3 linked regions of the Coturnix japonica genome follow. The protein of the gene in region 2 purifies or fractionates together with the protein of the main gene of each other region. This does not show direct contact. Links are inferred from orthologs where the notes say so. Each region holds a gene or a part of one and is shown on either strand. Other genes may lie near its edges. The genes, in order: TOM1, CUEDC1 and SMURF2.

Region 1 (3,650 bases), on a different chromosome or scaffold from region 2:
GTTTGGGATTTATAGTTACTAGTTTTCTCTGTCCCTGCAATAATTGCATACCACTTGCTTAACATATTATTCAGGAATAAAGGCCCTCAGGAATTTCAGGTCCTCGTGTGAGATGATTCCAACCTCAACAGGGCAAATTCCCTTAGTCACTGAAACTCCTCAACCCCCATGTCTCCCTTATCCCATCTGTCCCTGATAAGTCCCACACTGAACTGTTCCAGTGCAATTGTTCGCCATGCCTGGCATGTACATCTCAGTTCATCAACTCATTGCTAAATTGAGCTCCATGTGCCAGCCCTCTATCCCACCAGTAGCTGCCTTGTATTCCTTACTTGCAGCAGTTCCAAGTCAGAAGTCTCAGCCTGGGATGGCACCAGCTCTGTCAGCATCTCTGACATGACCTTCACATTCCCATTCACCACTTCCAGCTCACTGCGCAGCTTCTTGATCTGCAGAAGGGAGGGAAAGTAACTGCTTACCCTGTGAAGGATGGGGGATAGCTGAGGTAGCTGTGAAGGACAGCACATAGGGTGGATGCATTCACAAAGCTGAAGGGAAAAGCCACTGGAGAACTCATTTGTCACCGCTCAGTTTGGTTCCCAGGAGCTCTCAGCAGAAGGAAGCCTCATTACTTACCATCAAATTCATTCGCTGGTAAAAGATGCCAGGATCTCACTGGGGACCTTTGCCACTATATCTAACCTTGATTTTTAATAACCAGCAAAGGCTGCTGTTAGGATTCAATCTCTCCCCAGCTAGCAGCTTCTCTGTGGCAGCCACTCAAATGATTTCATTTCAAAGGCAGCAGAAGAGGGGAAAAAAATGAATTCCCATTCAGAAGGTGAGTCTGGGCTAAGAGTGCAGTTGAAGGTTTTCTCTCTTGTTTCAGAGACTAGTAATGAGTTCCTTGAGAGGAGTTCCCAGCCTTTGTTCTGCAAGGGGATGCTATCTACTAGCAGCTGGAGAATTAATGCTGAAGTTGGTGTCTTAAGTCAGGGTGAGAAAGGAGAAAAGAGGATGAGGAAACAACTGAGAAAGCCCTGGTCTCTGTAAGCTGCATAGCCAGTTAGGACTGACTCATATGGAGTCAATTGTTAGGCAAGATAAACAAAGATGGTACAGAGGCATCTACAAAGCAAAATTCTGCTCCACAACACTACAAAAATCTTGCCCAAAGCCTGTAGATCTCAGCTCCTTGCTTCCCTACAGCCTGGAGATCCTCCTAGTAGCTGCAAGCAGCCCTTTCTTAGGGAAGCGTAACCACTCTGTGTTTGTGGTATCCCTGTTGATTACTGTGACCACGATGGAGCTCTAGAAAATCCCTGAAGAATTGTCACGGTTTGAACAAAATTACAAAATTATTAAACCATGACAAGAATGATGCTTTGGAACAGCTCCTTAAGGATATAGGCTGGGGAAGGAGCAGGACCGCAGTCTCAGAACAGCATTTGTGAAACAGACCCCAAGCGGAGGGACAGCCAGCAGCAGCAGAGGGTATGTGTCCAACTCACCTGCTCTTGTGTGGGTGTGATGGGTGCATTGCTGGATGTGTCTCTCCCAGAAGGCAAGGTGACAGGGTGGAGGATGGACTCCATCTGCTGAGGGGAGTTGACTGCAGGTGAGTTCTGTCCAGACTGGGATTTGGAGCTATACACAGACTATGGACGGAGATAGGAACAACAGCAGAGATGTAAGACACTCACAGCTGACAAGGTAGTACAATTATGAAAGAAAGGTTGATGTCAAGTCCCCATCTGCTTTTAATAAGTCTTCCAACTTCTCTGCTTCACCTCCCTTAAAGCTCTTACCCTAAAGCTTTAAGCCACTTTGTCCACCACGGCCTTGCAAAGAGACCCTCCTGCAGCTTCTCACTTTCCACTTTCTCTAACAGCAACCCAGAGCTACTAGAGCATCCTCACAGCAGTATGCCTCCCACCTCCTCAGAAATGCCTTATTACCCTTCGTGGTGTGTGGATGGGTGACAGCATGTCCAGATCAGTCATGGGAAACTCAAGGCCTTTCCGTCTAAGGTCTTCATAGACAGCAACAACACCAGTTAAGTCCGGTGAGCTGCGGAAAGCATCCGCCCAGGACTAGGGAGAAGGAGATAACCATTCACATCATCATTTACATAATTTATACTACACTGATATACAAATACCACAGGACAAATGGTCCCTCCTCTGGTGCAGATGCTCACTCTTTGGCTCACCTGGATGAGGGTCAGCACCTTGTCGTGTACTATGGCAGGTGGGTTATTCTTCGGCAGGATTGTTCTCACCAGGACGCTTTCTACAAAGTCCTGGCTGGCTACAAGGATATGGAAGCGATGGCCACAGTTTTTGACACATGTCTCCAAGACCTTTGAAGGCAAAGAAGCATTAGCTACAGTCTTCTCTGCCTGCAGGAATTAGGCTTGTTGTCTTTTGGTGCCCATGTTTTTGCACCTGGGGACTCAGCTTCACAGCAAGAATCACAGAGCTAAGAAAGAATTGTGACCACTCACCGTCAAAGCCAGCATAACTTCGTGGAAATTCTTATTCCCTACAATTCTCTTCTTGATGGCTCGGAAGGCATCTTTGGGCCTACAGGAAAAAGCAAATGGAGAAAGATCATCAGAAGGGTGAGACTCACCTAGGAAGAAGCAAAGCAAAACAGCCACTGACATCCAGAGTCATGCACTCAATAGGTGATCTTCCCCATCACATTTTCAGTGCATCTTGAAGCAATGACTGATAAAGCAGTTTTTGCCTGTAGTTCTGTAGGAGGTGCTAGGTCCTGCTGCTGAGTGTTGGTGCTGAAACTGGAGGCTTCTGTGCTGATGTTTGCAACAATCCAAGGTGTACAGACAAAACAGAGAGTAATAGCAACACCAGAAATGTACTGTTTGGGGTAAAGCAAAATCCCATGGCAGCGACAATGCAGACAAGATCACAAAAAGCTTGGCAAAGGGTAGAAATAAGAAAGAGAGACGGAGAAGAAGCAATCCTTGTCAAGTTTAGAAAGAAACTGTTAAACCTTTCCCTGGAGGAAATGAGGCTAAAAAGAAGTTTGGGAGATGCAGTGAATCTTGCATAAATGGCAGCATAGCAGGGTCACTGTGGTCTTGTGAGAGGACACAAAAGGACTAACATACTCCAGTAGAGCAGGGGAAGAGAGGCTGGGCTGGAAGAGCAGCAGTGCTGGAAGACAAGAGTGGGATGGAGGCACCAAGGTAATGAGGAAGCATCTGGGGGCCCATGGGGTAGTAAAGCTGCAATGGATGGGCATCAGCAGGAGAACTGGAGAGACAGCTGTGTTAGCAACAGCCCAGAAATGAAACACAAAGTGGTAACAGCTTGGGACGGAGAACTGTTGGCAAAGACAGGCATATTTGTACCATGGGGAGAGCAGGGCTGGAAAATTAGGGGTGACAGATCTGTAAGAAAAGATGTTTGACTTTGTTTCCGTACAACTGTGAAGTTTCAAACTGAGCTTGCTATCTATCAGCCTCCCTGTGTGGTGGGACAGCAGGAGTGAAATCTACATTTTTCATTCCATGTATCACCTTCCTTTTTACATGCTGTTCTTGACGTCTCCACTGTGAGATAGAGCAGACCCCCTAGGATTCACTGGCAAATCCCCAGCTCCAGAGTTAACATGTTTGGCAG
Region 2 (3,456 bases):
CTCCTCTCCAAACTGCAGACTCACAGAGTCCCCAGGACCACCTGAATTCCCCCAGCAGTCCCAGCTACCGGAGTAAATGGCAACAAGACCCTTTTAGGATACACCTGGTGCTTCAACAAGTGTTTTCTTTTTGACTTCCTCATCTTTGTCTTCTCAGAGAAGGCTCTGGCGAGTTCAAACAGTTTCTTGCGCGTTGCTAGAAGGAAGCAGCCCAGTCAGGGTCTCACCCCAAACTCCCCAAAGAGCTGCCAGGCGTGTGGGGTGGAGACAGCTATGGGCAAGAGCCAGCAGTGCTGGAAGCAGCCACTGTGGTGCTGGGCACTGAAAGCCAGGTCCTGCCACCAGCAGAGACGCAAGTGGCCCCAGGCCAGAGGTGCTGGTGTTTGTACCCTTTCAGTGGGATTTCTGTGGTATTCCCTACCCATGACTACCCCAGGCCACCCCAGCGGGTCTTGGCCAGCTGCAGTCTGAGTCACACAGCCCAAGGAACTTGTGTTTGTTTTGCAGTGGGAGAAGCAAACTGTGACAGGCTTAAGAGGAAAGGGAGGGCTATAGCAAACTCCTCTGCTTCCTCTGCTGGGATTCCCATCACCATCTGCATCACCAACACACACCACAGTGGTATAATCCACGCACTCCTCTAGCCCATCATGGCCTTCCTGTTGCCAGACTGGAGTCTAGAAGGCAACTCACATTTTCCCATGTGTTTCAGTTTGTCTCTGAATAAGGCATCGTCAGACACGGCACTGCCAGCTTCACTGGTTCCAGGAGTGGCTACATCACCTGAAAGGCAAACATTTGGGCACCATCAGCATGTATGGTCACTGGCAGAGCTAAGTAACAGTGAGCAGGAAAAGAGCACAGCACTCCACACCTGGTTCTGGGTGACAAAACCCCTCCAAGATCTGGGGTGCAGAAATCCATCAGGGAGTGACCCCAACTTACAGCTGAGTGGCTGCATCTCACCCACCCCAGCCCCACTCGGGGACACAGACAGCTACAAGTGCTAATTCTGTCCCCAGGCAGCTGCCTCGCTTCTGAGGTTAATCAGGATTACTTGGGAACAGTCATTACGTCTCCCAGGCACAATCCTCTGTTCCCATCAAGACAGCAGGTTTTGTCACCTCTGGGAACTGGGCCCAGGGGAGGAACAGAGGCAGGACATGGGAGTGGCTGGGTGGGGAGGGCGCAGGCACCCAGCTCCATCACCTGTCTGCCCCACTGCCCTGTGCTTTTAAGAGCTCTGTGCAGCAGGGAGGAAACAGCTGGGTTCCTCCCTACACAGTCACATCACATGGCATGGCACAGCACAGCATGGCACACTGGGTGGAGCTTTGGAGCATCCTGCTGTGCATCTTGAAATTACCTGGTATTATGGAGGAGAAACAGAAATCATTGTTGACAGCAGCACTGGCTGACTTGGATTTTTTTGACTCGTATTTCAGTCGATCTGAAAAACAAAAAGCCCAGATCAGACTCTCGAGCTGGCACGCACAGCTTCATGCTCCTTGTCCATACATGCCCACTGCTCTCAGTAGCAGCAAAGGAACAAGCTCTGCCACACCCCAGGGATGTCAAACATTTCCACAGCACAGCTGGGCGCAGTGGGAGCCAGCAGGCAGCTTCCTCACCACCATCACTGCTGCAGCGCAGTGACCGCAGGCACTATGTGGGAGCCCACAGCAGGGGAAGTGAGCGCCACCAAAACACAGTGGTTTTCCAGCTGCAGCGGATGGGGATGAGGTTGACACACCGCAGCAGGAGCAGCCTCCCAGAATGGGGCATGCGCCTGAAAAGCAGAGGTCCCTAAAGGTGCTTCTCACCTCTCTCCAGGGCAAGGAGGAAATCCCGGTTCCTTTGCAGCTCCTTCATGAACTCTTCATTCTGCAGGAAGAGTGCAATCCGCTCATCCTGCAGGTACTGCTTCCACCTCCTCTCCTGCTCCAGGGAGCCCTGGCCCCGTTGCACAGGCTGCCGGCATCCAGGGGAGCCCTGTGCAGGAAGAAACATGGACAGAGGTTGGTCCACGGCCACAGCACAAAGCTGCTGGAGCCCACATCTGACACCAACACCAGGCAGAGCCAGAGGGACATTGCTGCATGGGAGCAGAGCCCCTGATGTGGGAACCATCTGGAAGAGCTCTTTTTCAGATCACATTTTTAATTTAAATACATAGGGTTGAAGCAAGACGTGGAAGTGAAGGAAAAAGGTCCTGCAGCCAGCATCACTGCTTTAATTTTGCCCAACTAAAAGGAGGAGACTGCAATTTCCTGCTGGCAGTGCCCCAGTGCTCGCACTCTCTCTCTCACCCTCCCCGACTACCACTGCATCCATACATATGGAAGAGCAGAGCCACACAGCACAGGATCGATCTCTCCCTTGCCTACAGTATCTATCTACAATATCTACTGCTGCTCTCAAAGTGCCATAAAAAGCAAAGGCACACAATTACCAGGGAAGAGAAGGGCAGCTGCTCCTCTCTCCCCTGAGTCCCAGTGAAATGATACGTTCCTATTCCCAGAAAGGTATTATAGGCTGAGAAGCTCAACTTTCAGGCAATTATATATGGCAATATAAGAGGCTGCCTTCAGCACCAAAAAGGGTAGGGAAAAGCTGATGCATCTGCAGCCGTCCCCAGGCCCCTGACATCCCGGGAGGGCACCAGCTCTGCTGCAGAGGTGCAAAGTGGCTGTGGGATGCCCAGGGGATGAGGAGCAGACAAAGCCAAGCTGGTGCCCACTGAGGCTGTGTTCGGTCCCCACAGGGTGCTGTGGTGCCAGCCTCAGAATTGCCAAGGAGAATATGAGTACCGCGATTTCCCATGAGGACGCTCCCTGGTTTGTAGCAGATTTTGTACCTCACATACACAGTATCTGAGCATCAGGCCTCACTGCTCTGCCCAGGAGCACTGGCTGGTTCTAGCATTTCCCAGCAGAGCAACAGAGCTGATTTTCAAACTGATCAGAAGCAACTCACGGCTCTTGGTCATGCCACAGGGGCTCGGAGTTGGTGCTCACCTGTGCCCGGGCAGCTTGCTGGGGCAGGATGCGCAAGAAGTCCTCAGGGAGGTTGCCCAGCAGCGGTGGGTTCCAGTTCCTGTAGCGTCCAGGCCCCGGCACATCCGTCCTGCAGTGAGCACAGCCAGAGCCTTCAGCCAGAGGGAACTCAAACACCACCAAATGGTATTACACAGCAACCCGTGTCAGCAGCCACCTGCTCAGCTCTCCAAGTGTATTCAGGGAAATCTCACTGTGCCTATCTTACAAGCCCACATTCACAGCTGCCAGAGAAGAGCTGAACTCCAGGGCTCTGTCACAAGCCTGGCTGCACTAGCCCTGCAGAGAGCACACTGCCCTTCCCTGCCACAGGCATGAGGTCTCCTAGTACCAAGAGATAAAGAGACACAAGCCCCAGCCTCACAGCACCTGGTGTTTCCCAGTGGCAGCAAGCACTCCC
Region 3 (3,650 bases), on a different chromosome or scaffold from region 2:
ATTGTATTCGCTGAACGTTTAATTAAATTTCAATACACCTTAACAACAACAAGGAAACCACCACCACCCAACACATAACCAGAGCTGTTTGATATCTTTTTTTAGTTTGTTTTTATATACAGCACACTGGGTACGTTGCTTCAAGTCCAGAGTCTTACTGTTAAGAATCAAAACAAACTCCATTTCTCCCAAAGGAAACATAAAACAATATCTTACAGAAAATTAAGATCATTTGAGATGTTTCTTTGTTTCTTTGATCCATACTAACAACAAATTATGTTATTTCATTCATTTAGTTTCTAGCAATATTAACGTGAGAACTAGATTCTTAAATCTAGAACATTATTCTCCACATGTACCTAACTGCTGGGTCACAAAAGCATCATTTTACTTAACTCCTATTGTCAGTCATACCGGGTTAACTGCAGAATCTGGGTTGATTTGCAGTGTGTAGATATCATCTCGGGAATACTGGAAGAGCCCATAGTATGGATTCAGCATTTCATGTGACAACAGGTAGAGCCACTCCCTGAAGAACAAGAAAGAAGAAAGAATTTACTGCATAACCTTAGATAAATTAATTTGCATATTGAGAATCTTTTCAATCTTTTCAAAGGACAGCTATGCACGTGTAGAAAGCAGAATTATTTTCACTGGTTCAGTAATGCACAGCACCTGTCAGCTGCCAGGATTTTCCTTCAAGTTGCTTTCCAAGAGTCACTGATTATGATTCTGTCACCAAGTTGACTGTTCAGTGGTGTACATACACTCCCAAATACCCAAGCTTTTCCAATTGATACAGGTTGCATCAGAGACACCTTTGGTAACAGGCATTTTGATTTATTTACAATAAATTCTCCTTGCTTTTTTTCCTTGAAAAGACTATCTGAGATATATACACTCTTCTGACATACAGCGTTACTAGAACAAATAGAACCACAGAATTTTAAAAGAAAAAGAGTCGTTGTCAGTTTGGTTTAGGAATCAAAGTGGTGCAGCTGGTGGGGCTGAGGAAAGGGATGGAGGACACACTGTTTACCTGGCAACACCTCCATAATCAAGACCTTCCTCCCCACGGAACTTTATCATTAATCGTTTCCATAGATCTTTTGGCCTCATCTTCATGACTTGCCTGTAAGATTCCTGTAAATACACAACACATTCTTTTATTAACTGCTATTTAGAGACAAGAAGCTACTACTGCTTATTAGAAACAAAGGGAGTCTCAGAATCTAAGCCCAAAGGGGATGTTGTTTTCCTAGAGACTGCTGTTTCTCCAATCACAAACTGTTACATAGCTTTCTATAAATGTGATAATGCTTGTCAAGTAAAAAATAGTGTGAAAAGCCAACAGTGGTACTTCTACTGACCAGAAGATATGCAAACCTTCACAAAGCATCTTAAGATGCTTAAGCATCATCAGCACCACCGCCATCCCAGTAAATCTATGGAATTATTGCTCTATCAGTAAGACTTCATCAATACAATATAAAAAGAATGCTAAAGAAAGAAACCAAATGCTCATTTTATAAATGGAATTAAATCAAAGGTTTTATTTATGATGCCCCCAATCTTTGTTTTTGCAGAAGAGAAGAGGCAGGCATGCCTGGGACGCTTCAGAAAAAGAATATAATAATTTCCACTCCTTTACAGCAGCATTTCTCCCCCTTCTTTTTCAGTTTATTATTAAGTGATTTGACTGTCTCCATTGGGAATACCAACACAAATATTTCTTGGCTGGAAAAATGGTGACAACGCAGTGGGGCTATCATGTTTGTGGGTGGAGTAAAAACACAACAGGGATGGGTGGGATGGGTGATAAAGTTTTTGAGACAAACAGGCTTCAGCATTTTGTCTAACTGAATGACTTCTTCAGACAGTTATGGATAACCCTCCTCCCCTTCCCTCAGTGTTAACAAATGGGTCAAGATCTCAAATTACCTCAAAAATCTCTTCCCTGGAGACCTCAATACGACAGTGGCCAGCTTGAGGTTGCTGCTGTGACAGCTCTTGCCTCAGGATCTTGAGTTTCTGCACCAGGTCTCGTTTGTACCTTGGCACAGTCAGACATTCTGCCTCATCTGGAAGCTGACACAGGGACACTACCTGCTGCTGCTGCTGGTGCTGCTGATCTTTAAGTTGATTCTGGCGGCTAGAAACAAACACAGCTGTTTGCAGATATTCAAGTCATACGTCTCCTGTTTTCTTCATGTGTTTCTTAAAGGTTAAGTCTTAGTAACTGACGTACTTTCGATTTACTATGATTACTGTGATTACACTAACAACATTCAGGCCTAGAAAAAAGTAAATTCAGAGAGATTTTATCCTGACTAAAGACATATGCTTCTGTCTTTCTTGGCAACTATCAGTTGTTTTTAGAGTTGGTTATTTCTATTAGTAGTACTCTACAAAGTATGTAAAAGGTTACAGCACGATATAATAAGGTATTAACCATACAGTTTTACTACTAAGCTGCTGACACTGAATTTCTCAGATACCATTTCCATATTTCCTTTGCGTGTTTTGCCTTCCTCCAATTTAAAATTCAAGGATCAGCCAAACACTATGCCTCTAATCTACACTCAATACCATAGTCTGTTTTAAATGGCTTGCATGAAAAAGAGTAAGCTTACAAAAAGATGTTTGTACTGGCAGCTTGGCAAGGACCTTGTCCCTTGTACCTGGCCTAGTCTGGACCACAGGAATGTGGGGAGCTCACATGTAACTAACTGGCACAGATAAGCAAGTATTTTTACTAGCAATTCTAAGAGATTTTGTAAATCTGACTTCTTACTGGACAAAGTCAGTTTTGAGCAGAGATGTCCTTTCTCATGTCACTTCTCAAGTAGGCCTTTTTGCATGGCTTAGCTTTTTAGTGTGGCACTTCCAAACAAGAGGACAAAAGCTGTATTTCCCCTAAAACTTGAAAAGCCTCTGTGCAGGACATGTGATAATGCCCCAAACTGACTGGATAAATAGGAAAGGTCACAATTTAGATATATATTTTTTTCCAATGCAACGTCAATTTATTTTTTTCCAACAACAAAACCAAACATATGAGACAGAACCTCACACAACTTCAATACCTCTTAAGATTTCAGTCCATTGCCTGTTTTGAAACAAAGTCTACTGAGAAAGCTCCCCTGACCAACCAAACTTCATTTCCACCGGGCTTTCACCACCACAGCATTCATTTTTGGCAGTTAAAAAAAGAAGTGGGAGTGTTCCCAGTTTGCCCTGTGGTTCTGACAGCCATTCGGTTATTTTCAAACCTTTTATTTAAAGTTAATTTGCACAAACCACATTCAAGTGAAATTTACTCCAGTCTACAGGGATCATCTATATCCTATGTCTTACAAACCTACCATCTAGAAGCCCCTGCAGTGACACACATTTGGATCAGCTCAGCAACAGCTGAAAGCTTATTCTTAATAATATTATCATTTTACATCTGGGCTATAAGAAGAAAATAATGCACAGCAACCCAATTCTGTCATGATGCCTTAGGATGCAATACACTGGAAATCAGCTTAACTGATTCTGTGAGATTCAGTGTTCTCTCGACTGTTTTTAAATAAAGCAACCTTAACTTTATTCCTAAGCTGACCACATTATTACAATAAACAACAACTCATATTTTAAAAGTCAAT

Evidence for each region.
Region 1: the proteins of CUEDC1 (region 2) and TOM1 purify together in Homo sapiens (co-immunoprecipitation; 3 studies listed by BioGRID and IntAct, with this or other methods). This does not show direct contact. The link is inferred for Coturnix japonica from reciprocal best matches to the Homo sapiens genes CUEDC1 and TOM1.
Region 3: the proteins of CUEDC1 (region 2) and SMURF2 purify together in Homo sapiens (co-immunoprecipitation; 3 studies listed by BioGRID and IntAct, with this or other methods). This does not show direct contact. The link is inferred for Coturnix japonica from reciprocal best matches to the Homo sapiens genes CUEDC1 and SMURF2.

What each region holds. Positions count from the first base shown.
Region 1 is NC_029516.1:47,628,278-47,631,927, forward strand, and holds part of TOM1 (target of Myb protein 1), read right to left. Parts: intron 2,586-3,650; coding exon 2,507-2,585; intron 2,363-2,506; coding exon 2,213-2,362; intron 2,094-2,212; coding exon 1,959-2,093; intron 1,659-1,958; coding exon 1,512-1,658; intron 450-1,511; coding exon 333-449; intron 1-332.
Region 2 is NC_029534.1:7,487,185-7,490,640, reverse strand, and holds part of CUEDC1 (CUE domain-containing protein 1), read right to left. Parts: intron 3,127-3,456; coding exon 3,018-3,126; intron 1,993-3,017; coding exon 1,824-1,992; intron 1,451-1,823; coding exon 1,367-1,450; intron 784-1,366; coding exon 694-783; intron 197-693; coding exon 103-196; intron 1-102.
Region 3 is NC_029533.1:7,225,632-7,229,281, reverse strand, and holds part of SMURF2 (E3 ubiquitin-protein ligase SMURF2), read right to left. Parts: intron 2,153-3,650; coding exon 1,942-2,152; intron 1,144-1,941; coding exon 1,040-1,143; intron 530-1,039; coding exon 415-529; intron 1-414. UniProt on the Homo sapiens protein: E3 ubiquitin-protein ligase which accepts ubiquitin from an E2 ubiquitin-conjugating enzyme in the form of a thioester and then directly transfers the ubiquitin to targeted substrates.